4 linked regions of the Anolis sagrei genome follow. The protein of the gene in region 4 purifies or fractionates together with the protein of the main gene of each other region. This does not show direct contact. Links are inferred from orthologs where the notes say so. Each region holds a gene or a part of one and is shown on either strand. Other genes may lie near its edges.

Region 1 (8,176 bases), about 48 Mb from region 4:
ACAGCAGTTGCAGACCAGCATATCTGGAAGTGTACACAATAGTAAATGCATGACCTAATAAAAGTGCCAATAGTTCTTCTAGTTACACTAGCAATGGATAACCCTTGATTCTTTCCTCTTTTGCCATATAATCTGTTCAGGGTGGCTAACTGACAGACAAAAGAATCCGGAAATAATTTTCAGTATCTCCCAGCTATGGTGTGGAAGGATTTGATCTACAAGCATATTGAGGAGACATTAGTTAGTCACTGTATGAAAATCTAGGGCAGGGGTCATCAAACTAAGGCCTGGGTGCCGGATACGGCCCTCCAAGGTCATTTACCTGGCCCTCGCTCAGGGTCAACCTAAGTCTGAAATGACTTGAAAGCACATAACAACAACAATCCTATCTCATCAGCCAAAAGCAGACCCACATTTCCCATTGAAATGCTAACAAGTTTATATTTGTTAAGATTGTTCTTCATTTTAATTATTGTATTGTTTTTAAGTGATTTTGCACTACAAATAAGATATGTGCAGTGTGCATAAGAATTTATTCATTTTTTTTCAAATATACAGTTTGAGGGACTGTGACCTGGCCCTCTGTTTAAAAAGTTTGTGGACCCCTGATCTAGGGGCACTAACCCATGAAATTATGTAACATTAAAAATAACAACAAATGTGCCAGATAAGAAAAAGCAATCAGATAAGAAAAAGCAATCAGTTTCATTCTGAATAGGAAGAAATATATCAAATGTCAATTTCATCTCTAAAAGTTATACTTAAATGCTGCATAAGCCTTTGTATTACAGGAACTTACCAATGACATTATGCTTTGAACTGAAAGGATCTACTATAGTCTGATCTCTGTAGCTGCGAAATCCTTGGATGATCACCTGAAATAAACACATTTATGTTAAATAAACTTTCATAAATACAATTTATTATCAACTACAGCTTTCAAAAGTACAATGTCTCAAAAAGGATAAGAAGTAAATTTGCTATATTCATTTCTATCATTTCCACAGTACGTACAAAAACAATACAATTACCAGGTACCACGTTGTGATGGTAGCCTGCTTCCTGCACTTTCATTATGCAGCCTTCAAGAACAGGTGAAGCAAAACTATGAGTGTGCAATCTCGTTAAGATTAAATGTTAAATTCGGTTTTTAACAAAATCTTCAGAATGAGATTTCAGCTGTAGTTGAGACAGAAAGTCTTGATATATCAGTGTTTTTAGATTAAAACTCATGATTTTTAACTAAAGCTTCAGAGTTATTTTAATCTTCTAGAAGGGGAAAGCATGGTACAAAAGCATCTATACTGCAGAATTACTGCAATTTGACACCCATTTAACTCGCATGGATCAATGCTCCAGTATTCTAGGATTCATAGTTTGATGAGAAGACTTACAAAGACCTTATAACACTGAAACTCCAATGATTGCATAGCACTGTGCCACAGCTGTTAAAGTGGTGTCGAAATGCATGGGTTATATAGTGGTATATTAACTCTGGATCCTAAGCATTCTGGACAAGAAATACTCTGGCCTCTGGTGCCTTTCACAATGCCCCTATACTCCAGAATCTGATCACAGATTATCCTCTTATCCCAGATTATCTGGCAGTGGAGACTCAGGCCCCTTCCACACATCTGTATAAAATCCACATTGAACTGGATTATATGGCAGTGTGGACTCTGATAATCCAGTTTAAAGCAGATATTGGTTCTGTTGGCTCTGTTGATTTTATTGGTCGCATAATGATTTTAATAACTAATTTAAATGAATGTTAACTTGAGGTTTTATATACATTTATATTTATTTTTTACGTTAGATGTAAATTAATTGACAGGTTATGTTATTATTTAATTTCTGGTTATATTATATTGTTTTTAAATGTTTTTTGCACTACAAATAAGATATGTGCAGTGTGCATAGGAATTCATTTTTTATTATAATCCACTCCTTTGAAGACCAATGTTAACAAATATAAACTTATGAGTGTTTCAATGGGAAGTGTGGGCCTGCTTTTGGCTGATGAGATACGATTGTTGTTATTGTGTGCTTTCAAGTTGTTTCAGACTTAGGTTGACCCTGAGCGAGGGCCGGGTAAATGACCTTGGAGGGTCATATCCGGCCCCTGGGCCTTAGTTTGAGGACCCCTGTCCCAGAATATCAAGGCAGAAAATCCCACATTATCTGCTTTGAACTGGGTTATCTGAGTCCACACTCAGATAATGTGGGATTTTCTGCCTTGATATTCTGGGATATAGGGCTGTGTGGAAGGACCCTGGGTTATCTGAGTCCACACTCGGGGCCCTTCCACAGTCCTATATCCCAGAATACCAAGGCAGAAAATCCTGCAATTATTTGCTTTGAACTGGGTTATCTGGGTCTACACTCAGATAATGTGGGATTTTCTGCCTTGATATTCTAGGATATAGGGCTGTGTGGAAGGCCCCCCAGATAACTGAGATTTTTTGCCTTGATATTCTGAGATATAGGGCTGTGTGGAAGGGCCCCAGATAATGTGGGATTTTCTGCCTTGATATTCTGGGATATAGGGCTGTGTGGAAGGATCCTGGGGGTTATCTAAGTCCACACTCAGGGCCCTTCCACAGTCCTATATCCCAGAACATCAAGGCAGAAAATCCTACAATATCCGCTTTGAATTGGGTTATCTGAGCCCACACTCAGATAATGTGGGAGTTCCTGCCTTGATATTCTGAGATATAGGGCTGTGTGGAAGGGCCCTCAGCCAGCACCAACAAGCATCAGATGAAGCCTAATCTGCAATGCCATATAATGCAGTATGAAACTACGTTATATGGTCAGTGCAGACTCATATAATCGTTTAACTACACCGAACTGCATCGCATGGTAGTGTAGATGAGGCCTGCGTGTCGCCGTCGTCGTCCCACTCCCCTCCCAATGTTCATTACATTTTGGAAACTTTAGGTTATTGTGGGAGATAAAATAAAAGATCAACCAGCCGAGGCCTCAACTTTTCTTGTTTACCACTTCATTTTACCACAGAAAGTAAACAAGGCCCGCCGGTGAGGCTGAATCCCCTGCTGATGCTGTCATTCTACAGAGAACGAGGGCCTCAACTGAGTCTCAGGGCCTGGCTTTCGTCGCCTCAACACCCCCAGCCCCCCTTTTTTTTTTACCCCACCAGTCCCTCGCTTTGCAGCCATGAATTCTTCCCAACCGTCCTTTATTGTTTCCAAAGAAAAAAAAAGCCTCCCCCTCACAACCTGAGGGCCTCCTACCTGCTTGATATACATGGCGGCGGCGAAAAGCTCCCTCCTCCCCGTCACTGCGCCCACCGAGAACAAAATGGCGGCAAAGCCTCCCCCTCCCGTTCGCTGTGGAACGTACCACTCTGCAAAGGAAAAGAGGGGAGGATCGTTGGCGAAAACGCAGCAAAAGCCTCGGAAAGAGGCAGAGGAAACGGGTCAGACCTTCCCAAAAGACGAAGTGGTTGCTGTACTTGTGGTGACTGCCCTTTATTTAAAATCGAAGCTAATAAAGCACCATCTCTGCCTCCCCGTTCGGTAGGATTTTGGTTCGGCCCGGCATGAGCGAAATAGGGCGCCAAAGCCAGTGCGGCCAATAGGAGGGGGAGCCTCAGGGAGGAATAGGCGGCGCGATTGCAGGGAGCGCAGCTGCCGCCAGAGGGCGCTGTTTTGCGACTCGCAGAATAACAACATTTTTTTTGTCGTGTCAGGAGCGACTTGAGAAACTGCAAGTCGCTTCTGGTGTCAGAGAATTGGCCGTCTGCAAGGACGTTCCCCAGGGGACGCCCAGATGAACTGATGTTTTTATCATCCTTGTGGGAGGCTTCTCTCATGTTCCCGCATGAGGAGCTGGAGCTGATAGAGGAAACTCATCCGCCTCCTCCGGATTCGAACCCGCGACCTGTCGGTCTTCAGTCCTGCCAGCACAGGGGTTTAACCACCGGGGGCTCCATACAACAACAACAATAACAACAACAACAACAACAATAATGCATGGATGTGCGCCCTCTGTCAGCTCCAGCTCCCCATGTGGGGATATGAGAGAAGCCTCCCATAAGGACAGTAAAACATCAAAAACATCAGCGCGTCCCCTGGGCAACGTCCTTGCAGACGGCCAATCATCTCAGACCAGAAGCGACTTGCAGTTTCGGATACAAAAAAACAACAACAGTAAGGCAGTTACTGAAAATCCAGTCACTGACCAACATGGTCAGAATCTTCAGCACTGACATCAGTATGGAGTTCCTTCCATAAGTTCCAAAAGAGCCAGAATGGCTTTATTATTATTATTATTATTATTATTATTGCAGCCCAAGAACAAGCCATTAGAACCAGTGCCATCAAAGACAGAATTGAAAAGTCTACCACTGATTCCAAGTGTAGATTCTGCAAGGAAGCAGACGAAACAATGGATCACATCCTCAGCTGCCGCAAGAAGATTGTGCAGACGGACTACAAGCAGAGGCATTACTCAGATGGTCCATAGGAAACTTGTGCCACAAATACCATCTGCCTGCAACAAAGAACTGGTGGGATCACAAGCCTGAAAAAATTACGGAAAATGAACACGTCAAATTACTCTGGGACTTCCGAATTCAGTCTGACAGAGTTTTGGAGCACAATTCTCCTGACCTTACGATCGTGGGAAAAAAACAAGTATGAATCATTGATGTTGCAGTACCAGGTGACAGCAGGATTGACAAGTAGCAACTAGAAAAAGTGACACAATGTAAGGATTTAAAGATCGAACTGCAAAGACTCTGGCACAAACCAGTAAAGGTGGTCCCATTGGTGATCAGCTCACTGGGCGCAGTGCCTAAAGACCTTGACCTGCACTTAAAAACAATTGGCACTGACAAAATTACGATCTGTCAGCTGCAAAAGGCCACCCAATTCAGATCTGCATGCATTATGCGACAATGCATCACACAGTCCTAGACACTTGGGAAGTGTCCGAAGTGTGAACAAAAACAAAAGTCAGCGTAGTGATCTTGTTTGCTGTGTACTATTATGTTATAATAATAATAATAATAATAATAAAAATAATAATAGGGCCCCCTGGTGGCACAGCACATTAAACCGTTGAGCTGCTGAACTTGCTGACTGAAAGGTTGGCGGTTCGAATCCGAGGAGCGGTGTGAGCTCTACTGTTAGGCCCAGCTTATTCCAGTCTAGTAGGTAGATAGGTAAGGTACTCCATGCAGTTATGCCGGCTACATGACCTTGAAGGTGTCTACGGACAACACTGGCTTTGCCTTAGAAATGGAGATGAGCACCAACCCCCCGAAGTCGGACACGATTAGACTTAATTTCAGGGGAAACCTTTACCTTAATAATAATAATAATAACAATAACAATAAACTTTTTTTGTATTTCGTCTATCTTCCTGATGGGACTCAGTTTGAATTCCAACATATATGAAAATACATTAAAACCTAATATCGAATTAAAGCCTAATATCACCTAACAGTGCAGGTGATGCAGAGCATCTTCCCCCCCAAGTATTTGTAGTTCACCAAGGGCCGGAAAATGGATTCTGCTGCTTCCTGACCCAGCACACATAACTGGGTTCCTGTTTCCTCTCTGTGAATTCTCTGGCTTGTGCACTGGACCCTGGCCCCTGATCAGGGAAATGCAGTTCCCCAAAGGACATTGCCCCACTCTCCACCATTTTAGACTCTTTGCGGACCTTTCTGCCCTCACTGATTGACTTGATGTCCTATTATCACGAACTTCCTCTACGAACTCAAGGCCAAGCCGCTTGGGGAGAATGGCCCCCGCCTGTGTGTGTGTGTCCTTGCCAAGCAGATCATACCTCAGGAACTCTGATGAATTGCTTTTGCCAATTGTTGTTGCTTCTAATAAACTTTGCTGGGATGGGGATGGGGATGGGATGGGGACCCCCCTTTATGAAATCTATGAGCTTATGAAAGTTTATGAAGAATGTATATGATATGGAAAAATATGAAATCTATGAAATGTACCCTGACCCTCTCCCCCACCTTTTCTCCCTCTGAACTTTACCCTACTAAAGTATGTGACCTGGGATTACAGTTAAGGAAATCCAATTTCCTTGGAAGAAACTCCATTCATATTTACATTGCATGGACAAAGACTGGCAGATCTATGGCTTTGTTTTCAGAGTCAGACGAACAAAAGCCAGAAATCTGTCAGCCAAAAGGCCCGGAAAAACAGACTGATTAAATCAATCATGGTGTTTTGTGTACGCTCCCCTGTGACAAAGGACTCCCTTCGCCACAGGGTTGAGATCCAGACACCACCCATAGCCACCCTTTTTTTTCCTATACACATCCTTTATCGGAACCCAGGAAATCCCTTGTCTCCCCTTCCGCCTCCCTGCCGTGCGAAGAACAAAAGGTGTTCAATCAGCTGGCGGACGCCTCCAGGCAAATCCGCCCCTCTGCGCTGTCAAGATACGTCCCGCCTCCTGGCCGCTGATTGGACAGTCTCCGGAGGCGCTCCAAGGGCTCTGATTGGCCCCCTGGAAGCGACAGCGGCCGGCGATTGGAGGGAAGGCGGGACCAGCGGCCAAGCCTCCTCCCAGCTGTTCTGGAGCCGGCCAATCAGGACAGAGGGAACTGACAGGAGGCGGGCGGGAGATTCAAACCAGGATTTCTTTGTTTTGCCTGTATAAATATACCTGAAATTCACTGTACTGCATGCTTATAGAGGAAATATCCCTGTAATGCATCCTTTTCAGCTGAATCGCTAAATAAACGCTTCGGTCACTGGATACCTCTTCAGCCTCTGGTGGGATTAATTCTTAATATTTTGCGCTTTGGATTGGCTTTTGCTGGCAGCTCACCAAGGTCAAAGATCCCTTTTGCGATCTCCAGGGATCTTCCCCGCTGGGAAGTCCCTCCCAAAAGAGCTCGATATCACAGGCATAGAGATGCTAAATAGACAAACCATAAAGTGCAATCAGCCTGAAGCCTATAAATATCTGGGCACACTACAGCCAAACAATATCAAACACGGACATGTGAAAAATGTGGTCAGCAAAGAATATGTCCAAAAACCACGATGTAGGGATGCTATACTGTATATGTACAGTATCGCTCCACTTACTCTCCCCCCCCCTCCTCTCTCTTTCTCTTCCTCTCCTCTTTCCCCCTCTCTTCCTCCTTCCCTGCCCATCCCTTTGCTGGAGCCACCCTTCTTCCCCCCCCCCCCCGCTTCCCCACTGGCATGGGGCTCTCACCTGGTCACCCGAGGAAGAGCGACCAGGAAGAAGCCGTGATGGAAGCTGCCTTGGCGGTGGCCTTCTCCACCTCAGAAGAAAGAAGAAGAAGCCCCGGTGGAAGCTGCCTTGGCGTCCCTCTCCGTACCTCTCACCAGCGCTACTTCGGCAAGTGGGGTTTATAGATCTGTGTATATAGTGTTCCCTCAGGACTTGTATTTTAAATTAATTTTTTTTTGGAAAAACCGTGAAACAGTGAGTCCACAGGAAGCAAACTGCAGAGTACTGAGGGAACACTGTATTTTGGAAAAAATACAGGTTCCTCGTATAATTTATTTTGAAAGATTGAGAAATGTTGAAGAACAGAGGTGCCAGAGGACTGGAGAAGAGCAAACATTGTGCCTCTCTTCAAAAGAGGTTGAAAAAAATCCAGGGAACTGCAAACCACTCAGCATGACTGCACTATCAGGAGAAAAAAAATGAATTGATTATAAAGGAGTCTGTTTGCAAGGGTTTGTATGACTCTGCATGATTACTGAGAGCTATCATGGGTTTGTTGAGAGCAAATTTAGCCAAATTAATCATACTCGTTTTGATCTGGTCACTAGTTCACTAGGTGTTAGGAATGCTCTAGAATGATCTAGGTCCCCAGGTGTTTTGGCCTACAACTCCCAGAAATCCCAGCCAGTTTACCAGCTGTAAGGATTTTTGGAAGTTGAAGGCCAAAACATCTGGGGACCCACAGGCTGAGAACTACTGCCCTAGATGTCTTATCTGGAATTCAACAATGCATTTTATACATTTCTTCATGATTATTTAGTTAGAGAACTGATTGAATGTGGAATAAATGTAAACACTGTGAAATGGAGCTGTGATTGGTTGGAAAACTATGTTCAAAAAGTCACAATCCATGTCTGTTCTTTGAAGTAGAAGGAAGTCTTCAATGACGTTCTATAGGGCTGGGTGCTGGGTC
Region 2 (7,314 bases), on a different chromosome or scaffold from region 4:
CAAGCCCTGTGGAAACCTGAGAAGTCCCGCAAGGCACAGGCTTCAGGTGGCAGAGTATTCCAGAGTGATGGTGCCACTGCTGTAAAGGCTCTGCGTCTGGTTGCTGTTAGACGCAAGGTCTTGACACTGGGAATTTCCAATAGATCTTGGTCCTCAGAACGGAAGGATCTCTGGGGTTGGTAGGGGGTGAGGTGGTCCCTCAGGTACATCAGCTCCAGACCATGCAAGGCCTTAAAGGTGAGTACCATCACTTTGAAAGTGATCTGGTGCTCAATTGGTAACCAATGCAGCTGTAGTAAGATTGGTGTTATGTGGCATCTCATCGGAATTCCCGCAAGAAGCCGAGCAGCTGCATTTTGTACCAACTTGAGCTTCCGGATCACCGACAGAGGAAGGCCAATGTCGAGGGCGTTACAGTAGTCCAGTCTTGAGATGACCATAGCCTGGATCACCGTAGCTAGGTCGTCCCTGGACAGGTAGGGGGCCAGCCGTCTAGCCTGCCGCAGAGTTGAACAGGTATCCCCCAGCACCACTTTCTGCATTCGGTCCTCTAGGAAAGAACGGAGCCAATGTAAAATAGTGCTCCCTAGCCCCATCTCAGTTGAAAGGATACCACGGTTAATGGTACTGAACGTTGCTGAGAGGTCCATGTGAACCAACAGGGACACACTCCCTCTGTCTAGCTCTCTTTGTAGATCATCCGCTGAGTTGACCAATGCAGTTTCAGTTCTGTATCCAGACTGAAAGGGTTCCAGAAAATTGGTATCTTCTAAGAAACTGTGGAGCTGAGAGACTACCACTCTCTCCAAAACCTTGCCCAGGATGGGGAGATTTCAAACTGGCCATTTATTATTTAATTGAGTAGGGTTCAGTGCTGGATGTTTTAGCAAAAGGTTTTACTACAACCCCTTTAAGGTGAGCTGGAAAAACAGTACCTCCTAATCTCATCCCAGCAAGACGAGCCAGAGGATGATGGGAGCTGCAGTTTACCCAAATCCTTATGCAATTACTTTTTCGAATGTTTATCCTTACCAAATGCCTAAACTAGTTTATTGTATACATTGCTTCCCAACATTCGTTCTTCATTTTAGTCACCCTCCCCTGGACACATTCCCGCTTGTCAATATCTCTCTTGAATTGTGGTGCCCAGAATTGGACACAATATTCCAGGTGTGGTCTAACCAAAGCAGAATAGAGCATGGGTAGCATGATTTCTCTAGATCTAGACACTATGCTATTGATGCAGGCAAAAATCCAATTGGCTTTTTTTGCCGCCATATCACATTGTTGACTCATGTGATGTGGCGGCAAAAAAAGCCAATGGGATTTTGGCCTGCATCAATAGGAGCATAGTGTCTAGATCTAGGGAAGTCATGCTACCACTCTATTCCGCTTTGGTTAGACCACATCTGGAATATTGTGTCCAATTCTGGGTACCACAATTCAAGAGAGATATTGACAAGCTGAAATGTGTCCAGAGGAGGGCGACTAAAATGATCAAGGGTCTGGAGAACAAGCCCCATGAGGAGCGGCTTAAGGAGCTGGGCATGTTTAGACTGAAGAAGAGAAGGCTGAGAGGAGATATGATAGCCATGTATAAATACGCGAGAGGAAGCCACAGGGAGGACGGAGCAAGCTTGTTTTCTGCTTCCTTGGAGACTAGGACGCGAAACAATGGCTTCAAACTACAAGAAAGGAGATTCCATCTGAACATGAGGAAGAACTTCCTGACTTTGAGAGCCGTTCAGCAATGGAACTCCCTACCCCCCCCCCCCCAGAGTGTGGTGGAGGCTCCTCCTTTGGAAGTTTTGAAATAGAGGCTGGATGGCCATCTGTCAGGGGTGCTTTGAATGCAATTTTCCTGCTTCTTGGCAGGGGGTTGGACTGGATGGCCCATGAGGTCTCTTCCAACTCTTTGATTCTATGATTGGGCCACAGTAACGCGTGGCAGGGGATGGCTAGTATACATATGGATGTGTGTGTGTGTGAATTATATCTATCTATATCTATGGCTGGATGTCTGTTTGTCAGGAGGGCATTGGTTATTCTTTTCCTGCCCTGGTGAAGGGAGTTGGATTGGATGGCCTTAAGGCAGCATTTCTCAACCTGGGGGTCGGGACCTTGTGGGGGGGGGATGCAAAAGGGTGTCAGAAGGATTGCAAAAGACCACCAGAAAACACAGTATTTTCTGTTGGTCATGGGAGTTCAGTGTGGGAAGTTTGACCCAATTGTTGGTGGGGTTCAGAATGATCTTTGATTGTAGGTGAACAATAAATCCCAGCAACTACAACTCCCAAATGTCAAGGTCTATTTTCCTCAAACCCCATATTTGGGCATATGGAGTATTCGTGCCAAGTTTGGTCTGGATCCATCAATTGTTTCAGGATACAGTGCTCTTTAGATGTAGGTGAACTACAACTCCAAAACTCAAGGTCAATGCCCACCAAACACTTCCAGTACTTTCTGTGGATCATGGGAGCTCTGCGTGCCATGTTTGGTTCAGTTCCATCATTGGTGGAGTTTAGAATGCTCTTTGATTGCAGGTTAACTGTAAATCCCAGCAACTACAACTCCCAAATGAAAAAAATCAATCCCTCCAATCTCATTCAAAGTATTCAAATTTGGGCATTCTATGATTCTATGATGGGAGCTGCAGTTTACCCAAATCCTTATGCAATTAATTTTTCGAATGTTTATCCTTACCAAATGCCTAAGCTAGTTTATTGTATACATTGCCTCCCAACATTCGTTCTTCTCCTACCTGTCCCCCTCCTCTGTTCCCTTCCCGCCGAAGAGGAACTAATTCCAGCTGAAAAGCCTTGCTTAGGGCTCCCAAAAGAAGGAACTTCCGGTCAGACCAGGCATGGGCAAACACACCTGGGACAGACGAACCTAGTTAGGAAAACCTCAACCACAGACCCATGAATAGGAGGAAACTCTACAGCCAAATCCCTTTCTATCTTCAAAGCGGGCTTCTTCTATTTCTGTTAGAAAGAACAGGAAGATCGGGAAATCCAAAAAAACGGAAGTGAATCCTATGGTTGTCTATACCTTCCTAGCTCTAAGAACTCGCACCTCTCCAAAATGGCGGCGCTTCCGGTCCCTTCAGCGGCAACCACCCAGCGAGGGGGGGAGGGGAATGCCTTCGTCGCCGCCGACTTCCCCGGCGTTTTCTCTTTCTCGCGGGACGGCCCTTTCCTCCCCGAAGTCTTAGGAGGCTACGAAGCCGTCGCAAGGGGGCGAAACGGCCGCCTCCCTCGCGCCTCGGAGCGAGTTCCTCCTGGAAGTGTTGCCGTCGTCTCAGGCTCGCCCTCACTGCGCATGCGCAGCCAGCCCCTTGCTCAAGCCCCCGTTTCCTACATATAGCTGTCTACGTTAGTGCCTGCCTGGGATTGTTTCCCTATCATATCAGTACCCGCCTCGAGATGTGATATAGATCGTGGACATTTGACGATATTAAAAATATGGCCGGCATCCTATTATAAAGTCTTAAGGACTCGATATTAGTCAAGCCCCGGTAGGGGGGTTTGGCAGAGCCACGCATGCGCACTGCTTACTCGTCGCAGGCTAGGCTTTTTCCCCCTCTTTGTGACGTCATTAACGCTCACGCAAGCTGGCGAACAGAAAGGCGAGGAAGTCTTGAGCCGCCATGACACTTGAGGGCATGTCGCTTCCGCCATCTTTGTTTCGGTTCCCCGCACATTCAAGCAGACAGCGTTTCCGCTTCCGTTTTTCCTTCCTAGCCATTGTACAGCCTGCAGAAAGATAGCAGTTTCGACACTTCTTTGAATGCTACCTACACTGAGTGGGATTTGCACTTTTATGAAATATTTATTAGCATTCTCTGCCAGAGAACTCTAAATGCCTTGTAATAAAAGAACTCCTAGGGGTAGCCTTGCAGCTGCAAAGCCTGGCTGTTGCTGCCTGGAGGTATCCCTTGTCTGGGAGGTTGTGGTGGACAACTCTATATAGGGACCATATAAAGATCGATCACAATGGAGGAGACGTGGTTTTTAAAAGGGAATTTTCAGATATTTCCCCAATGCCCATATGTCATGATTTACGACCATATTGGCCTATTTCTGCAGTAGGCCTTTGTTCACAGAAAATGCTGATTGTTTGAGAAATCAGTGCTCCAAAGAAGAAGTTACTATTCAAGGATAACAGTATATCCGGACAAAACCAGCTAGCTGTTTGCTAGATAGAACCCCCAAGTTTCCCAGTCGCTCTGGAGCCATGTTTGCAACAGACTAACAGATAAGATACAGTTATGGTCAGAGAACAATGGACCATAGTTATGTTATAGTTGTGCCATTGTTAGGATCCCACGTGTGCTATAATGTCAATCAAAATCATAAACAACTAATGAACAACTGCATAGCTAGCTTAGACCAATGAAATGATTTGTCTTTGGGAACCAATGAAAATGTATATTCCATTTACTATAAATGTTTTGCAGACCCATTGGGGGTGGCGATGATGGCGGGGGGGACCCGCCATTGACTGGTCTGCACTTCAGCGGAGAGTTCCGCAGTTCCTGGTTGTCACAATTGGAAGAAACAGGTGAAATGTGCTCCAACAGGCAGTTCAATAACAAGACTGCACTCAGCCTTTCCTCGCTTTCCCTTCTGCCTGCCTTGTAACATTCCCCTAATAAAAGTACTTGAAACTTGCAACTTTTTATCTTCCCGCATGCTACTTTTGTATCCTTTCTTGACTCTAACAAAATAACATTGCAATAAACCTTTTTTTTTGGGCTCCGGAGAGCCGTGAGCCCGCGGGAGGCGCCTCCCGGACCCCGGATCTGTGTTCGCCCAATCAGCGGATACAGAAACCGCCATTTCAGACCCCCTTATCCACGAAAACACCTAAGATGGCGGATCGCCGCCGTTCCAATTTTATAATTTTCTACAACTAATTCTAAGACTAACTGTCATCTCCCTTTTCTCGTTTTGGGCTCCTTCACCCGGGAAAAATTAGTTTTGTTTTAAGTATTTTATCTTGCAGAGAAACAGCTGATTGTCAATTTGACTGGGTTTTCCACTCCTCCGCGGCAGCGCTCACTCCCGCTTGGATCCAACAGCCAGGGACCCACTGCGGCCACTCGCAGGAGTCCCGGAAAGGCGGCCAGGCATGGACCCTGGCCCCTGATCAGGGAAATGTAGTTTCCCAAAGGACATTGCCCCACCACTTGCAGTTTGGAAATTCTCTTTGGACTCTTTTGCCCTCACTTATTGACTTTCTGCCTTATTACCTTGGACTGTTTCCCTGCCACACTTTTGGACACGAACCTCAGACCGGGCTTGCCTGGAAGGACAAGCAGCCTCAGCCTACATGCGCCTTCACCAAGAAGACTATGATTCCGACAAAATGAAATGCATTTATTATTGTTATTGTTTCTAATAAACTTTGCTGGGATGGGGATGGGAATTCACTCATGAAATGTATGAAGTATGTGAAGCATATAAAATGTATATAGTGGAATATCATATAAAATGTACCCTGACTCCCCTCCCCACCTTTTCCCTCTGAACTTCGCCCCAAAAGGAATGTGACCCAAAGATTACTGCCAACAGAGAGGAAATCCTTTGTCCTCCAAAAACCAGTCCATATCTACATTTGCATGGGCCCGTGATTGATTCTGTCTCGAGGCTTGTTTTCAGAGCAGACAATGAGATGAGAGATGGGTCAACAAGACTCAGGAAGAAAGATTGATTAACTCAATTTGTGGTGTTTGTTGATCCCCTGAGGTCCGAACGCCGTCAATAGCCCCTTCTTTCACCTTTTCATATTTTCTCCCAAATCCAATCATGGGCCGGGGGAAACCCATTGTCCCCCTTGTCTGCCACTCCATCGATAAGAACAAAGGCCCAGTAACAGCTGGCTGATGCCCCCTGGGGCATCCCATTTCCCCCGGATTGCCAAACTTCGTCCCGCCTCCTGTCTGCTGATTGGACCATCTTCGGAGGCGCTAGGAGGCAGCAACGCTTGCTGATTGGTCAAGAGGCGGGACATGCGGCCAAGCCTCCTCCCAGCTGTTCCGGGGCCAGCCAATCAGGGCGAAGCCGGCTGACAGAGGGCGGGTGGGATTTTCAAACTGTTTTGCCTTTGTTCTGACTGTATAAAAATGCCTGGAACTTCTGTGAATGTATGCTTGTATGTGAACTATCACTTTTCAGCTGAATTGCAGAAATAAACGCTTCGGTCACTGGATACCTCTTCAGCCTCTGGTGAGATTAATTCTTAATATTTTGCGCTTTGGATTGGCTTTCGCTGGCTGCTCACCGAGGTCAAAAGACCCCTTTAGCGGTCTTCAGGGATCTCCCCCGCTGGGAGAGCCCCACAAAAGAGCTCGATATCAGCGACAAACCCTTTGATCGCATCCCTGTATGCTTGTTTGTCGTTATTGCTATGGCCACGCAATAATAAATAGTTTTTTGCAATTTAAAGGATTCAACTTTCGTGGTGTCCATCCTTGCCCTCCCTATTGGAAAGGGGGCTTCTGCCTTTTGGGAAATATTCTGGTTTCGTTGCCCCTACAACAGATCAAACGATACACCAATGCTGCCACCAATATTATACCTGGATCACTTAATGGATCCCGCTAGCTGCCAAATCAAATTATAAAGACTTATTTACTTATTTACTTTTGTTTAACAGGGAGAAACATAAACTGTGTAAGTTTTTGTCTGTATAATGGATGATGACTGAGAAATATTGAAACTGTTCTTCTGTTTGGTTATGCTGCCAACTTTCTATTTTTAGTGCTGAGGGAAACCAAGTAACATTTCTTTATGTTACAATGCTGTTCGATCTCGCTTTAGAGAGGTTATATTTTTATCTAATATATTCACACACAGTCTGTGGTAGTGTGAAAATAGAATAACAAGTTTATTAAACAGTCTTGAAAGTATTTCAGGTACAAAAAGCTTATCGGTTGCATTAAATAGTACAGTTTTCAGTTTCAGTCACAAATTCAAAACTGGGAATTTATATTTTCCCCTCAAAATAGATTCTTCCCTACAAACAGCGCAATACCTCAGGGACTGTCTAGCTATAGTCCTTCCTATGAAGTAACTATCTAGAATCTATTTCCAAGTTAGACTTCTTCCTCATTCTTCACTGCTATTCCTAATCTAAAACTGCTCTCTCCTAACTATCCGCTCCAACTCCCTCCTCTAACACACACAAGCCTCCAGATTTTAAAACGCTACTTTTTTCCTGTCAGCTTTTCCAAAGGTCCGCCCCCTTTCTCTACACCAATCCCCCTTTCTCTACACCAATCCCTCATAGGTCATCCAATCCAACCCCCTG
Region 3 (7,439 bases), on a different chromosome or scaffold from region 4:
TGGTCTTCTCACCAAGCACAAAGCTGATAGCATCCATGAGGTTTGATTTCCCTGGTTAGATACAGCAAAGACAGAACAAATTGAAACCATGTTATCAATATTATGTTGATGTTTTCATTGTCACAGTTTCTTAGTCTCAAGATTTTAGCAACGAATAATAAAGACTCCGAATTATTACTGAAGAAGGTAAAGGAAGCAAATGCAAATGTTAGTTTACAGTTGAACATAAGAAAACAAAAATAATGACCACAGATAACCTTCATAACTTTAAAGTTAGACAAACTGATTGATTGAATTATTTTCTTTGTTTTTAAATGTTCAAGGAGCTCCATTGGCTGCTGTTTATTTTCCAAGCCCAATTTAAGGTGCAGGTGCTTACCTACACAGCCCTAAATGGTTTGGGACCATCCTACCTACGTGACCGCATCTCTGTTTATGAACCTACACGTTCTCTTCGTTCATCCGGAGAGGCCCTGCTCACGATCCCACCTGCGTCGCAGGCATGTCTGGTGGGGACGCGAGACAGGGCCTTTTCTGTGGTAGCCCCCTGACTCTGGAACTCCCTCCCTAAAGATATCAGACAGGCCCCTACCTTGGTAGTCTTTAGGAAGAACTTGAAGACCTGGCTGTTCCGATGTGCCTTTCCAGAATAGGAAAACTCCAGTAACATGTCCCAGAAGCACTTTATTAGAGTTTAAGATTGCCCGCACACTGCACTTACCCTAAAATCTGATATACCACCTGCCACATCAGCCTGTACTCATTTTAACCTGTACCCATTACATTGGCCCGGCCCTGTTTTCTTGTGTTTTGGTATATTGTTTTATTGTTTTGTTGTTTGATATTGCTTTAATTGCTTTGATTTGTTTTAAGTTGTGTATTTTGTTATGCTATGTTTTTATTGAGGCCTTTGCCTGTGTAAGCCACATCGAGTCCTTCGGGAGATGCTAGTGAGGTACAAATAAAATTAATAATAATAATAATAATAATAATAATAATAATGTAATGTATTGCATATGTATGTTGTAAACCGCTCCGAGCCTTCAGGGAGTGGTGGTATATAAATTCGATTAATAAAATAAATAAATTAAAAATTAAAAAAACACTGAAATAGTTCTATACTTTGCCTCACTCATTAAACAGAACGCGCTGCAGTCAAGAAATCAGAAGAAGACGAAGGCCCCTTCTATACTGCCAAATAAAATCCAGATTATCTGCTTTGAATTGGATTATATGGCAGGGTAGACTCAGGTCCCTTCCAGGATCGGATCCCACGTTTTCTGCTTTGAACTGAATTATACGAGTCTGTGAAGCCGAGCACCCCCCCCCCCCCCAGAATGGGGGATGGTGACTTGTAGCCCTGCAAAGGGCAAGCGCACCAGACTGCACAGTAAGGGGTTAAGTCTTGGTCACATTGCCAAGGCACTGACAACAACAAGGACCCCACGAGGCTTTTGGGAAACGGCTGGATCTTGGGACTTCTGCCCTTCGTGAGAGTCGTAGTTTCCCAAGGACCAAAGTGTGAATCAGTTGCAGCACAGCTGGGGTTTCATCTGCTAGCCTTCCCAATGATCATGGACTCTCTGCCTGCATGTCTTGGACTTCAGTACATACTATCTCCCTCATGAACTTTCCTCAAAGACCTTTTAAAACATTGGACTTCAGGCTTCTTCATGAAAATTAATCCTCTTATTAAATATATTTGGGATGTGGGACAAAGATGGGGTTTTGTTGCTATGAAATGCTTATGATTTGAATGTATGTATCTTGCTATGAAATACCTTTTGCCCCCTTTACCCTTGCCCAAAAAAAGGCGACCAGGAAAAACCACTCAGTGCCTGAGGGGGCTGTTGTTCCCTCGAAACCAACCTTATCACAGACATTTGCATGTACAATAGCAACTGGAAATTCTTTGTTTATTTTTTTCTGAGTTGGCCTGGTAAACAGGGAATTTCTCTGATCACATTTTAATTTAATCACAAAGGGGCGAGACTGGCCCCAGGGGTCTTCTTGCCCTGCTCTGTTTGTTTCATCCAAAAACCTATCAAAACCAACACACCTTATCTGATCCTGGAAGGGGAAAACCTGAATCAAATGATTATCCCTAATCACTGATCCATCACAAGAACAAAAAAACTGGTTTCCTTGGCTGGCTGATCCCTCGGGCAAAGGACAGTGGAATGTCATCATCCTCTCTGGACACAATGCCCCTCTTCCGTCCTGCCTCCCTCTCCCTGATTTGCTAAGGAGCCGAAGAGGGAGGGAGTTTTGAAACTTTCAAATCTGTATTTTGCTATAAATATGCCTCTGATCAATGTATTGGTATGCTTGCATGTGAATGATCACTGCAATTGCATCCGCTTCAGCTGAATCGCTAATAAACCTCGGTGCCACTTCTTCACCTTGGCAAGAGTCTCATTTCAATTATTAATATCAATAAAATTGCTGGAATCAGGCTTCTTCTGACGGCTCGCCAAGGACAAGGGACTCTCTTTGGTGCAGTCCTAGGAGTCTCTTCTACCGGGGAGACTCTCCCAAATTCAGGCTCAATATCATCTGCACTGCCAGATAATCTGGGATAAACAGAAAGCCTGGAATAAAGGGCCTGCCTGGAAGGACCCTCAGTCTACAGGTACTGAGTAGTGTGACTGAGCATTTGACTCTTAGGCCCCTTCTACACAGCTGTTTAAAATCCATATTATCTGCTTTGAACTGGATTATACAAGTCCACACTGCCCTATAATCCAGTTCAAATAAGATAATCTGGATTTCAAATGGATGTGGTAGGACCCTGGGTTATCTGGACATGCTCCCTACTCTACCCTTCCCTGAAATGCCATGCGATTCGGTGTTGTGTCCTTAGATCCCGGGGAGGCCCGCCTTACCGGATCCATTGGGCCCGATGATGGCCGTGAAGCTCTGGAAGGGCCCGATGATTTGCCGCCCTTTGTACGATTTGAAATTCTCGATCTCGATCAGCTTGAGGAACCCCATTCCGCGGGTTGGGGAAACGGGGGGGAGATAGAAAAGGTGGACGCAAAGCAAAACTACGGGGCGCGGTGGGGGACACAAGGCCCCGTAGGCCCCTCTTGATTACTACTCTCGGCCGCCGTCCACGAGAAGGGCGGGAGTCTTGAAACCTCGCGAGAGTTGATTACGGCTCACTTTAGGCTCCGCCTCTTACGACATCGCGGTCGCTGATAGGATGCCGCTGCCGCGTAAAATTTGCATTCGGAGCTCCTCCCCTTTTCCGCCTCAGCTCAGCAGGGGACCTCCTTCCTGCGGCAAGCTCCGCCTACTCCGAACTTCTCACTGTGCTGATAGGTTCGAGCGCAGCCAATGAGCCCTTTCCAAAGATGACATCATTTAAAGTGGCTCGTTGTCACAGCAACCAGAAAGCAAGCGCCGTCTAGGAAAGGTGAGCATCAGGCGAGTCGGGTCGTGCAGAGGAAGGGGCCTCTGATCAGGTTGCCTACACTTTATGGCACTACAAAGCCCAGCAGCCCTGGCCTGTTGAGAGATGCTGGGAGTCTCAGTCCAGAGGCGGAATTATAGCATCTTATTAACTGCCATGGCTCAATAATATAATATATTGTATATACATATAATAATGATAATATTATAATGTAATACAATATAATACTACTAATAATATGATAATTATATATTTTATATTAAATGTAATATTACTAATATTACAGTATAATGTTATAGTACAATGTTATATATATATAATGTAATGTTTGTTTGTGGGATTAACAGAACTCAAAACCCACTGGATGAATTGACACAAAATTTGGACACAAGACACCTAACAACCCAATGTATGTCCCTCACTCAAAAACATGATTTTGTCATTTGGGAGTTGTAGTTGCTGGGATTTATAGTTCACCTACACTCAAAGAGCTTTCTGAACCCCACCAATGATGGAATTGAACCAAACTTGGCACACAGAACTCCCATGACCAACAGAAAATACTGGAAGGGTTTGGTGGGCAGTGTCCTTTGGTTTTGGAGTTGTAATTCACCTACATCCAGAGATCACTGTGAACTCAAACAGTGATGGATCTGGACCAAACTTTGTGAATTATGACCAGGAATGTTTTGACGATGTGGCTGTGTAAGTGTGATGATGACGGTGTTGTATTGTAATATGTTTTTAATTGTGTAATGATAATACATTGTGTGGTTTGTATTTTTGTATACGAACACATGTTGTGAACCGGATCTGAGTCCCTCTTGGAGATGAGAAGATCGGTATAGAAAACTTTTAAATAAATAAATAAACTTTACATGAATACTCAATATGCCCAATTAGGGAAAATAGAATCTTAACATTTGGGAGTTGTAGTTGCTGGTATTTATAGTTCACCTACAGTCAAAGAGCATTCTGAACCCCACCAACGATAGAATTGGGCCAAACCTCCCACACAGAACCCTCATGTGGGCCACAGCAACACTTGGCAGGGGACGGCTAGTAATATTAATATTGTGCTATGGTAATAATATAATATAATGTATTTATTTTTTGCTTGTAAGCCGCTCTGAGTCCCCTTCGGGGTGAGAAGGGCGGCGTATAAATGTCGTGAATAAATAAATAAATAAATGCTATGGGATTCTGGGATTTGTAGTTTTGTGAGATACTTCCCCTTCCCTTCCACACAGTCATATAATCAAGAATATCAGGGCAGATAATCTACAGTATCTGCTTTGAACTGGATTATCTGAGTTCACACGGCCATATAATCCAGTTCAATGTGGATTTCATACAGCTGTGTGGAAGGGGTCAGAGGGCTCTGGTGCCACAACAAGAAACGAATCCCAGGATTCAATAGAATGGAGCCATGGCAGTTAAAGTGACTCATCACATTGTGGATAGTCACTGAGGCCCCTTTTACGCTGCCATATAATCCAGATTATCTGATCTGAACTGGATTGTTTGATTAGGTACCAAAATATGTTTCTTTTAACACAGAGGATTATGAGCCATGTAAATTAGTTTTTGAGAAACAAATAGATGCTTTGAAGGAAATCCTCCCTCCAAGGAATAAGGGTATATTTTTGCAGATACTACTTATGTGGTGCTTATAATGTCTGAAGCTCTAGATTCCATCTAGGAGTAGGGAGAAATACGAGGGTTGAATTAAAAGTAATGCCTCCACCTTCGAAACTCTTCAACAGATGGCAGTACTGGTATGCGGCAGGTACTGGCTTGTTCAGTAGACTCTCCTCTACAGTTCCATTTTGGCGGGAAGCCTTAGCATTGAATGGTTGTGTTGTTAAAGTGCAAAGTATGGAACCCTGTGCAGATGGTCGGTCAATGCGACTTAAGCAACGTGCAGTCATTGAATTCTTGACAGCAGAAGGTGTCACCCCAAAGGAGATTAATCAGAGAATGCAAGCTGTTTATGGTGGTTGTGTTGATGTGAGTACTGTGCATCATTGGGCGAGTGAGTTTAAAGATTTTGAGGTGGGAACATCTGACTTGCGTGACAAACAAAGAGTTGGACGTCCTGTGACAGCAAGCAAAAGGTTGACAGATTGATTAAGGACAATCGTCGTATCACTCAGAGAGAAATCTCAAGCATAATCGGCATTTCACAAGAACGTGTGGGTCACATTATTGCTTTGCTTGGCTATCGGAAGATCTGTGCAGGATGGGTCTCGGAAACAAAGTGTCGACTTCTTCCATGATGGCTTCAGAAAAATTGTTCATTGTTGGCAGAAATGTATCCAATGGTCTGGTGATTATGTGGAAAAGTGAATAGTGGTAGCTAAAGAGCACATTCTAAGGATTATTTCTGCATTTGATTTATTAAAATATTCCCATCCAAACCCAAGTAACAAAGGTGGAGGCATTACTTTTCATTCAACCCTCATATATATATATTATATAATGATGAGTCTACACTGCCATGTAATCCAGTTCAAAGCAGATAATCTGGATTTTATATGGCAGTGTAGAAGGGGCCATAATATAAGGCTGATTACCCTTTAATTGGAATTCTGAAATTCAAAATGCTCCAATTGATAATGTGCTATTTCATGAACAACATTTATTTTAAAATATAATGCACTCAGTTATTTTCAAGCACTAGACATATAAGATGCATGTGAAAAATCACTAAATGTTTATGGATGGTTTCAGGTGGCCCATCTCTGTGGTGTGACTTTAAAAGTATTTTGCTTGAGACTCTGGACAACTACAAGCATTTAGTATAGTAAACATTAAAATAGATTAGTATACATACAGTCCTTGAGTTACGGACAAGATAAATTCTGTAGGTTTGTTCTTAAGTTGAATTTGTATGTAAGTCAGAACAGGTACATTTTTTAAAATGAAACTCCAGTCCATTTGCTTTGGATAGCATAGGGAAGGGTGTTTGTTTTGCTGTCTGTGCCCCTGTTCAAAAGATTGCCCCTCACTTTCTGTCTCTGTGATAATTGGATTTTGAAAAATGTGGCTTGTTGTGGAAGCAAGAATTGGAGAGAAAGCTTCAGGTACTTCTACACTGCCATATAATCCAGATTATCAAAGCAGATAATCCACAGAACTGGATTATGTGAGTCTACACTACCATATAATCAAGTTCAAAATGGATAACCTGGATTTTATATGACAATTTTAGAGTGATGATCATTCCTTGCGTTAGTAGGTGTCTTGTGGCCAAATTTGGTGGCAATTTGTCCAGTGGTTTTTGAGTTATGTTAATCCCATAAACGAACATTATATTTTTATTTATATAGACTAGCCGTCCCCTGCCACGCGTTGCTGTGGCCCAGTCTGGTGATGTGGAAAATAAAGTAATGAGAAAGCATTGGTTTCTAATGTATGTAATTTTGTAATGTATGTAAGTGCTTTTGGGTAAACAGTATTTCTTGTTGTTTCTTTGTCAGTGTTGATGTGGAGATTGTCTGGTTTGACTACTCTTGAATATGCAATATATCATAGTCCTTCTTTAGGGGTCCCTTTGAAATCTATGATACTATATCTGTATCTGTACTATATCTGTGTGTGTGAATCATATCTATCTATATTTATGACTGGATGGCTCTTTGTCAGGAGGGCTCTGATTACATTTTCTTGTCCTGGTGAAGAGAGTTGGACTGGATGGTCTTAAGTATTTTCTGTTGCTCATGGGGATTCTGTGTGGGAAATTTGCCCCAGTTCTGTTGTTTGTGGGATTCAGAATGCTCTTTGATTGCAGATGAACTATAAATCCCAGTAACTACAAATCCCAAATGTCAATGTGTATTTTCCCCAAACTCCATCGGTGTTCATATTTGGGCATATGGAATATTTGTGCCAAGTTTGGTCCAGATCCATCATTGTTTGAGTCCACAGTGCTCTCTGGATGTAGGTGAAGTACAACTCCCAAACTCAAGGTCAATGCCCACCAAAACCTTCTAGTGTTTTCTGTTGGTCATGGGAGTCCTGT
Region 4 (8,068 bases):
AAGACAGGGCCTTCTCCGTGGTGGCCCCTCAGCTGTGTAACTCTCCCTAAAGAGGTTAGATCTGCCCCCTCCCTCCTGACTTTTCGCAAGACATTTAAGATGTGGCTGTGGGAGCAAGCATTCGCAGAATAGATGGTTTTAATTGGCTTAGATGAGATTGTATGGACCACATTTTTTGGACTGGTTTGGAGCACGCTTTAAACTTGGCAAACCGTTTTTAAATGTATATTTATTACCATTTTATGTAATTGTGTATTTTATTGGTGTTTTTATATTGTTGGAAGCCACCCTGAGTCCCTATTCGGAGGTCGTGAATAGGACGGGATACAAATGTTCTAAATAAACAAACAAACACATACATAAATACTGTAAATAAATAAATATGCAAACTGAAATACAGATTATTTCTGGTCCAGGTAATTCAAATAAGGGATACTCAACCTACACCTGTTTTCCCCCCAAAAGTGGATGTGGAAATTATTCAAACCATTAGAGGGCAGCATTTATTCAACCTCAAAGGCCACCTATTCTTATTTAGCGATGAATAGAACTTCAGTTCAGAATGTATCAAGCTGTACAATCTAAATATGGAAGAAATAAAAAGCAATATTTGGCACATCCTCTAGAAATGGAAGAGTATTTTGTTTCAGTTCATTGTTCTGATCAGAATTTATGAGCATCTGGATGTTAGAAAAAGCAGAACTGACTTGGTACTGAGTGTCCTTTGACACTACATCCATTGCACTGCAATTCCATTTTCACGGATGCATTCTATGGAATTTTAAATTACAAATCTCAGACCTCTCCTGGAACAACTTTGTGTCCAGTTCTGGGCACCGCAATTTCAGAAGGAACAAGCCGGAACGTGTCCAGAGAAAGGCAACCAAAGTGGCAAAAGTTCTGGAAGACAAGTCCTGTGAGGAGCAGTTTAGGGAACTGGGAATGTTTAGTTTGGAGAAAAGGTTGAGAAGGGACAAGAGATCCATGTTACAATATTTGAAGGGGAAAAACTTATTTTCTGCTGCTCTTGAGACAAAGGGCCTTTCCAGACAGGCCCTGTATCCCAGGATCTGATCCCAGGATTTCTGTTTATCCCAGATTATCTGGCAGTGTGGACTCATATAATCCAGTTTAAAGCAGAAAACCTGGGATCAGATCCTGGGATATAGGGCTTGTCTGGAAGGGCCCTAGGACACAAAGCAATGGATTCAAACATCAGCAGAAGAGATGCCACCTAAACATTAGGAAGTTTGCAGATGACACCAAATTGGGAGGGATAGCCAATACTCCAGAGGACAGGAGCAGGATTCAAAACGATCTTGACAGATTAGAGAGATGGGCCAAAACTAACAAAATGAAGTTCAACAGGGACAAATGTAAGATACTCCACTTTGGCAGGAAAAACGAGATGCAAAGATACAGAATGGGGGACAACAAGTTAAACATGAGCCAACAATGTGATGTGGCGGCATCTCTCAGGGGTGATTTGAATGCAATATTCCTGCTTCTTGGCAGGGGGTTGGACTGGATGGCCCATGAGGTCTCTTCCAACTCTTCGATTCTATGATTCTATGAACTGGAGGGCTTGCTAGGGAGATGTCTACTCAAGTTTTTTAAAAACCCAAATATTCATGTTTTGTTGGTTTTTTACTTTCCTGGGGGCCCTGTTCCCCAATCTCAGCAAATATGGTGGGATCACTGTACATTTAGAAACTACAACTTCCAGCATTTCCCATTCTGAAAATGCCAGCTGAAGTCTCATGGTTCTCAAGCAGGGAGAAAAAAGCCCAGCACAAGAAGGAAGGCTGGTTCATGTAAGGTTCAGATACCAAACAGGTACCTGAGCCATCCTTCTGGCATTAACAGTAACTCCTATTCAACGTGACAGCTGCCATTTCTGATATTTTTCTCTCATTGTCCCTATTGTCTGCTTTATCACATTTTCTTCTTAGCAAAATGTCTCTTTGAGGCCTACTCTTCCCTCCTGGCATCTCACTTTCTGCTGCAAGTGAACGGCCCATAAAGGAAGGAGATGACATTGATGATGCCCATAAGTACCACATGGCCTTGCCCTTGTGCCATAGGGTTGGCTTTCCAGCATGAGATTCAGAATTTTCTAATTCAAAAGAAAAATGAAAAGGTGGACAGAACTACAATATTTCTTTTCAGTATCATATCTCAAATACCTCTCCTGCTGTGCTTTGTCGTTCTGTGAGCAAGCGTGCTTATTTATTTTGGGAGGAGTGTGATGGAGTTGTTTTAGCATTGAATGAAATCCATTGGGTGATCATGGGGAGGTCACATTCTCTCAGCCTCAAGAGGAAAAGGTAAAGCTTTCCCCTGACATTAAGTCTAGCTGTGTCCGACTCTGGGGGGTGGTGCTCATCTCCATTTCTAAGCTGGCATTGTCCGTAGACACCTCCAAGGTCATGTGGCCAACATGATTGCATGGAGCTCCATTACCTTCCAGCAGAAGTGGTACCTATTGATCTAATCACATTTATAAGTTTTCGAACTGCTTGGTTGGCAGAAACTGGGGCTAACATTGGGGTGGGGGGTGTCTTCTCCGACTGCCATTCCCAGAACCCTCCAAACTGAATCCCCTGTTGTGGGATGGGCAATCTGACAAGGCATGGTTAGCTTGTAGACTCCGATAAGCCAACAATGTGATGCAGCAGCAAAAAAGCCAATGATGATTTTGGCCTGCATCAATAGGAGTATAGTGTCTAGATGCAGGGAAGTCATGCTACCCATGCTCTATTCTGCCTTGGTCACACCACACCTGGAATCACACTGTGTCCAATTCTGGGCACCACAATTGAAGAGAGATATTGACAAGCTGGAATGTGTCCAGAGGAGGGTGACTAAAATAAAAGGGTCTGGAGAACAAGCCCTATGAGGAGCGGCTTCAAGAGCTGGGCATGTTTAACCTGCAGAAGGCTGAGAGGAGACATGATGAAGGCCATAGTTCAATATGTGAGGGGAAGTCATAGGTAGGAGGGAGCAAGCTTGTTTTCTGCTGCCCTGGAGACTAGGATATGGAACAATGGCTTCAAACTACAAGAGAGGAGATTCCACCTGAACATGAGGAAGAACTTCCTTACTGTAAGAGCTGTTCAGCAGTGGAACTCTCTGCCCTGGAGTGTGGTAGAGGCTCCTTCTTTGGAGGCTTTTAAACAGAGGCTGGATGGCCATCTGTTGGTGGTGCTTTGAATGCAATTTTCCTGCATTTTGGCAGTGGGTTGGACCAGATGGCCCATGAGGTCTCTTCCAACTCTAGGATTCTATGCTCCATATGTATATCCCTGTCTGTAAGTTCTTGTTTTGTGAGGAATTGTGAGAAATAAATAATCTTTACAGGATAGATGAGATTGTGGAACTCTCCTGGTCACAGTGAATGCTTTTGACGCAGACTATTTATTTATTTATTTACTTCATTTATATACCGCTTTTCTCAGCCCTCAGGTGACTACTGAGACCGACATTGATTTTACTTCTTTCTATAGGAATCAACGAGTGCATAATGTGAGTTTGAATCCCTGGGCCCATGAGATTGCATAGCAAAAATAAAGGGCCAGCATGCAAATAGCATCGATTTTGAATTTGCAGGGGTATCTGATGTGATCCGAGTTTGATGGCAAGCAGGGGCGGTTCAACCCATTACGCAAAGCAAGCATTCGCAGTATAGTTGATTTTGCCCAGGGGTGATCTTGAGGCGCTCTTGGGGGGAAATAGACCTTGACATATGCGAGTTGTAGTTACTGGGATGTATAGTCAGAAGCAGCCGTAGGTAATTTTCAATGGTAAGCAAACAGTATTTTGGTGCCCCCCCCCCCCAAACCAATCATTGATATATATTTTCTGCTCGTCATGGGATTTGGTTGTGCCATATTTGGTTCAATTCCATCATTGGAATTCCACCAGAATGCTCTTCAATTTGATTTTAGATTTTAGGTGAACTATACATCCCAGTAACTACAACTGCTCTTTGATTTTAGGTGAACTATACATCCCAGTAACTACAACTTGCATATGTCAAGGTCTATTTTCCCCCAAGAGTGCCTCAAGAGCGCCCCTGGGCAAAATCGACTATACTGCAAATGCTTACTTTGCGTAATGGGTTGAGCCGCCCCTGTGTAGAGTTCACCTACAATCAAAGAGCATTCTGAACTCCACCAATGATGGAACTGAACCAAATATGGCACACAGAACTCCCACGATGAACAGAAAATATATATATCAATGATTGGTTGGAGGATGGGGCGCCAAAATACTGTTCGCTTACCATTGAAAATTGCCTAGGGCCGCCTCTGATGGCAAGTTAAAAGAAAATGAAAGAAGACCCCCCCCCCCCCCCCGCCAAATTCTTTACTCCAGATACAGAGTCTTGATCTGGACTGCCCACAATGAGAATAAAGGGAGGGATCTGTAGTCAATGGATGGTGCTTTGAAGTCAAGACTGAACACAGTTTGATCTCAATACAGAACCTTACCTCTGGATGTGTGTGAACCAGTAACATTGGGAAACAAGCTTCAGGGATAAATACAATTGACCTCATTGGACCTTCAAACGAATAAATGTTAGTAGGAATATGAATATCAAGCAGGCATGGGCAAACTTAGGCCCTCCAGGTGTTTTGGACTTCAATTCTCACAATTCCTATCAGTCCATAGGCTCATGAGGTCTCTTCCAACTCTGGTTGCCCAGGAACGCACCCTTCCCCAGGAATGAGCCTGGGAGTGACTGGCGAGGCTTCCTCTGAGCATGTGCAGAGTGCCTCTCCCTTCCTCCTCCCTCGGGGGCCAGGAGGCAGGCTCCGAGGGCGTGGCTGGAGGAGCCTTGGCGCTTCTCTCTGGGCAGCTGCGGCTCCCTCCGTCTTCCGCCGGGTTAAAGATAGCCTCCCTCCCTCCTCCTCCTCCTCCTGCTTCTCGTCCGGCCAGGAGGGCTTTCTCTCTCTCTCTCTCTGTCTCTGTGGGGCGATGGAGCGGGCGGCACTGTTGGGGTCCGGGCGGGAGGCAGCGGTGGGCCCGGAGATCGCGGGGGACGTGGGCGAGCTCCTGGTGCCCTACATGCCCACCGTCCGGGTGCCCAAGACCGGGGACCGCGTCTACAAGGCCGAGTGCGCCTTCTCCTACGACTCGCCGGTGAGTCCCTTCCTCCCTTCCTTGCCTCCTTTGGGCTGTGGGTCCCTTGCCTTTTTCCAGAGACCCCCTCCCTCCCTTGACACTTGCTTCCAGGCCTTGGCGGGGCCACCCATTCCCCTTTCCAGGGGGTCGCATGGTACTTTCTCCTAGGACTGTCTCTCCTAATTGGCTTTTGAGAAGTGTTTGGGGTCTGGGAAAGATTTCTGCAGAGAGATCCCTTGCACATGGGTCTCACCACATTTAGCTTTTCTTTCCTTGGCTTTGCATGTTCTCTTTAGTGCTTTTGCTGTGAGTTTTCCGGGCTGTCTGGCCATGTTCCAGAAGCATTCTCTCCCCACGTTTCGCCCACACCAATGGCAAGCATCCTCAGAGGTTGTGAGGTCTGTTGGAAACTAGGCAAGTGGGGTTTATCTCTTGAGTGCTCTTGCTGTGAGTTCTTCGGGCTGTCTGGCCATGATCCAGAAGCATTCTCTCCCCACGTTTCGCCCACTCCAATGGCAAGCATCCTCAGAGGTTGTGAGGTCTGTTGGAAACTAGGCAAGTGGGGTTTATTTCTTTAGTGCTTTTGCTGTGAGTTTTCTGGGCTGTCTGGTCATGTTCCAGAAGCATTCTCTCCCCACGTTTTGCCCACAGCAATGGCAAGCATCCTCAGAGGTTGTGAGGTCTGTTGGAAACTAGGCAAGTGGGGTTTATCTCTTTAGTGCTTTTGCTGTGAGTTTTCTGGGCTGTCTGGCCATGTTCCAGAAGCATTCTCTCCCCACGTTTCGCCCACACCAATGGCAAGCATCCTCAGAGGTTGTGAGGTCTGTTGGAAACTAGGCAAGTGGGGTTTATCTCTTGAGTGCTTTTGCTGTGAGTTTTCTGGGCTGTGTGGCCATGTTCTAGAAGCATTCTCTCCCCACGTTTCGCCCACGCCAATGGCAAGCATCCTCAGAGGTTGTGAGTTCTGTTGGAAACTAGGCAAGTGGGGTTTATCTCTTTAGTGCTTTTGCTGTGAGTTTTCTGGGCTGTCTGGCCATGTTCCAGAAGCATTCTCTCCCCACGTTTCACCCACACCAATGGCAAGCATCCTCAGAGGTTGTGAGGTCTGTTGGAAACTAGGCAAGTGGGGTTTATCTCTTTAGTGCTTTTGCTGTGAGTTTTCCGGGCTGTCTGGCCATGTTCCAGAAGCATTCTCTCCCCACGTTTCGCCCACACGAATGGCAAGCATCCTCAGAGGTTGTGAGGTCTGTTGGAAACTAGGCAAGTGGGGTTTATCTCTTTAGTGCTTTTGCTGTGAGTTTTCTGGGCTGTGTGGCCATGTTCTAGAAGCATTCTCTTCCCACGTTTTGCCCACAGCAATGGCAAGCATCCTCAGAGGTTGTGAGGTCTGTTGGAAACTAGGCAAGTGGGGTTTATCTCTTTAGTGCTTTTGCTGTGAGTTTTCTGGGCTGTCTGGCCATGTTCCAGAAGCATTCTCTCCCCACGTTTCGCCCACACCAATGGCAAGCATCCTCAGAGGTTGTGAGGTCTGTTGGAAACTAGGCAAGTGGGGTTTATCTCTTTAGTGCTTTTGCTGTGAGTTTTCTGGGCTGTGTGGCCATGTTCTAGAAGCATTCTCTTCCCACGTTTTGCCCACAGCAATGGCAAGCATCCTCAGAGGTTGTGAGGTCTGTTGGAAACTAGGCAAGTGGGGTTTATCTCTTTAGTGCTTTTGCTGTGAGTTTTCTGGGCTGTCTGGCCATGTTCCAGAAGCATTCTCTCCCCACGTTTCGCCCACACCAATGGCAAGCATCCTCAGAGGTTGTGAGGTCTGTTGGAAACTAGGCAAGTGGGGTTTATCTCTTTAGTGCTTTTGCTGTGCGTTTTCTGGGCTGTCTGGCCATGTTCTAGAAGCATTCTCTCCCCACGTTTCGCCCACAGCAATGGCAAGCATCCTCAGAGGTTGTGAGGTCTGTTGGAAACTAGGCAAGTGGGGTTTATCTCTTTAGTGCTTTTGCTGTGAGTTTTCTGGGCTGTCTGGCCATGTTCCAGAAGCATTCTCTCCCCACGTTTCGCCCACAGCAATGGCAAGCATCCTCAGAGGTTGTGAGGTCTGTTGGAAACTAGGCAAGTGGGGTTTATCTCTTTAGTGCTTTTGCTGTGAGTTTTCTGGGCTGTCTGGCCATGTTCCAGAAGCATTCTCTCCCCACGTTTCGCCCACACCAATGGCAAGCATCCTCAGAGGTTGTGAGGTCTGTTGGAAACTAGGCAAGTGGGGTTTATCTCTTTAGTGCTTTTGCTGTGCGTTTTCTGGGCTGTCTGGCCATGTTCTAGAAGCATTCTCTCCCCACGTTTCGCCCACACGAATGGCAAGCATCCTCAGAGGTTGTGAGGTCTGTTGGAAACTAGGCAAGTGGGGTTTATCTCTTTAGTGCTTTTGCTGTGAGTTTTCTGGGCTGTGTGGCCATGTTCTAGAAGCATTCTCTTCCCACGTTTTGCCCACAGCAATGGCAAGCATCCTCAGAGGTTGTGAGGTCTGTTGGAAACTAGGCAAGTGGGGTTTATCTCTTTAGTGCTTTTGCTGTGAGTTTTCTGGGCTGTCTGGCCATGTTCCAGAAGCATTCTCTCCCCACGTTTCGCCCACACGAATGGCAAGCATCCTCAGAGGTTGTGAGGTCTGTTGGAAACTAGGCAAGTGGGGTTTATCTCTTTAGTGCTTTTGCTGTGAGTTTTCTGGGCTGTGTGGCCATGTTCTAGAAGCATTCTCTTCCCACGTTTTGCCCACAGCAATGGCAAGCATCCTCAGAGGTTGTGAGGTCTGTTGGAAACTAGGCAAGTGGGGTTTATCTCTTTAGTGCTTTTGCTGTGAGGTTTCTGGGCTGTCTGGCCATGTTCCAGAAGCATTCTCTCCCCACGTTTCGCCCACACCAATGGCAAGCATCCTCAGAGGTTGTGAGGTCTG

What was found.
Region 1: the proteins of USP13 (region 4) and SMC3 purify together in Homo sapiens (affinity purification with mass spectrometry; 4 studies listed by BioGRID and IntAct, with this or other methods). This does not show direct contact. The link is inferred for Anolis sagrei from reciprocal best matches to the Homo sapiens genes USP13 and SMC3.
Region 2: the proteins of USP13 (region 4) and BAG6 purify together in Homo sapiens (affinity purification with western blotting; 3 studies listed by BioGRID and IntAct, with this or other methods). This does not show direct contact. The link is inferred for Anolis sagrei from reciprocal best matches to the Homo sapiens genes USP13 and BAG6.
Region 3: the proteins of USP13 (region 4) and SMC1A purify together in Homo sapiens (affinity purification with mass spectrometry; 5 studies listed by BioGRID and IntAct, with this or other methods). This does not show direct contact. The link is inferred for Anolis sagrei from reciprocal best matches to the Homo sapiens genes USP13 and SMC1A.

The regions. Positions count from the first base shown.
Region 1 is NC_090023.1:209,665,841-209,674,016, forward strand, and holds the start of SMC3 (structural maintenance of chromosomes protein 3), read right to left. Parts: upstream 3,360-8,176; 5' UTR 3,270-3,359; coding exon 3,255-3,269; intron 876-3,254; coding exon 800-875; intron 1-799. UniProt on the Homo sapiens protein: Central component of cohesin, a complex required for chromosome cohesion during the cell cycle. The cohesin complex may form a large proteinaceous ring within which sister chromatids can be trapped.
Region 2 is NC_090022.1:19,009,707-19,017,020, reverse strand, and holds the start of BAG6 (large proline-rich protein BAG6), read right to left. Parts: upstream 3,364-7,314; 5' UTR 3,052-3,363; intron 2,865-3,051; exon of another isoform or gene 2,762-2,864; intron 1-2,761. UniProt on the Homo sapiens protein: ATP-independent molecular chaperone preventing the aggregation of misfolded and hydrophobic patches-containing proteins.
Region 3 is NC_090022.1:175,069,789-175,077,227, forward strand, and holds the start of SMC1A (structural maintenance of chromosomes protein 1A), read right to left. Parts: upstream 3,149-7,439; 5' UTR 2,995-3,148; coding exon 2,886-2,994; intron 52-2,885; coding exon 1-51. UniProt on the Homo sapiens protein: Involved in chromosome cohesion during cell cycle and in DNA repair. Central component of cohesin complex. The cohesin complex is required for the cohesion of sister chromatids after DNA replication.
Region 4 is NC_090023.1:257,655,514-257,663,581, forward strand, and holds the start of USP13 (ubiquitin carboxyl-terminal hydrolase 13), read left to right. Parts: upstream 1-4,821; 5' UTR 4,822-4,980; coding exon 4,981-5,145; intron 5,146-8,068. UniProt on the Homo sapiens protein: Deubiquitinase that mediates deubiquitination of target proteins such as BECN1, MITF, SKP2 and USP10 and is involved in various processes such as autophagy, endoplasmic reticulum-associated degradation (ERAD), cell cycle progression or DNA damage response.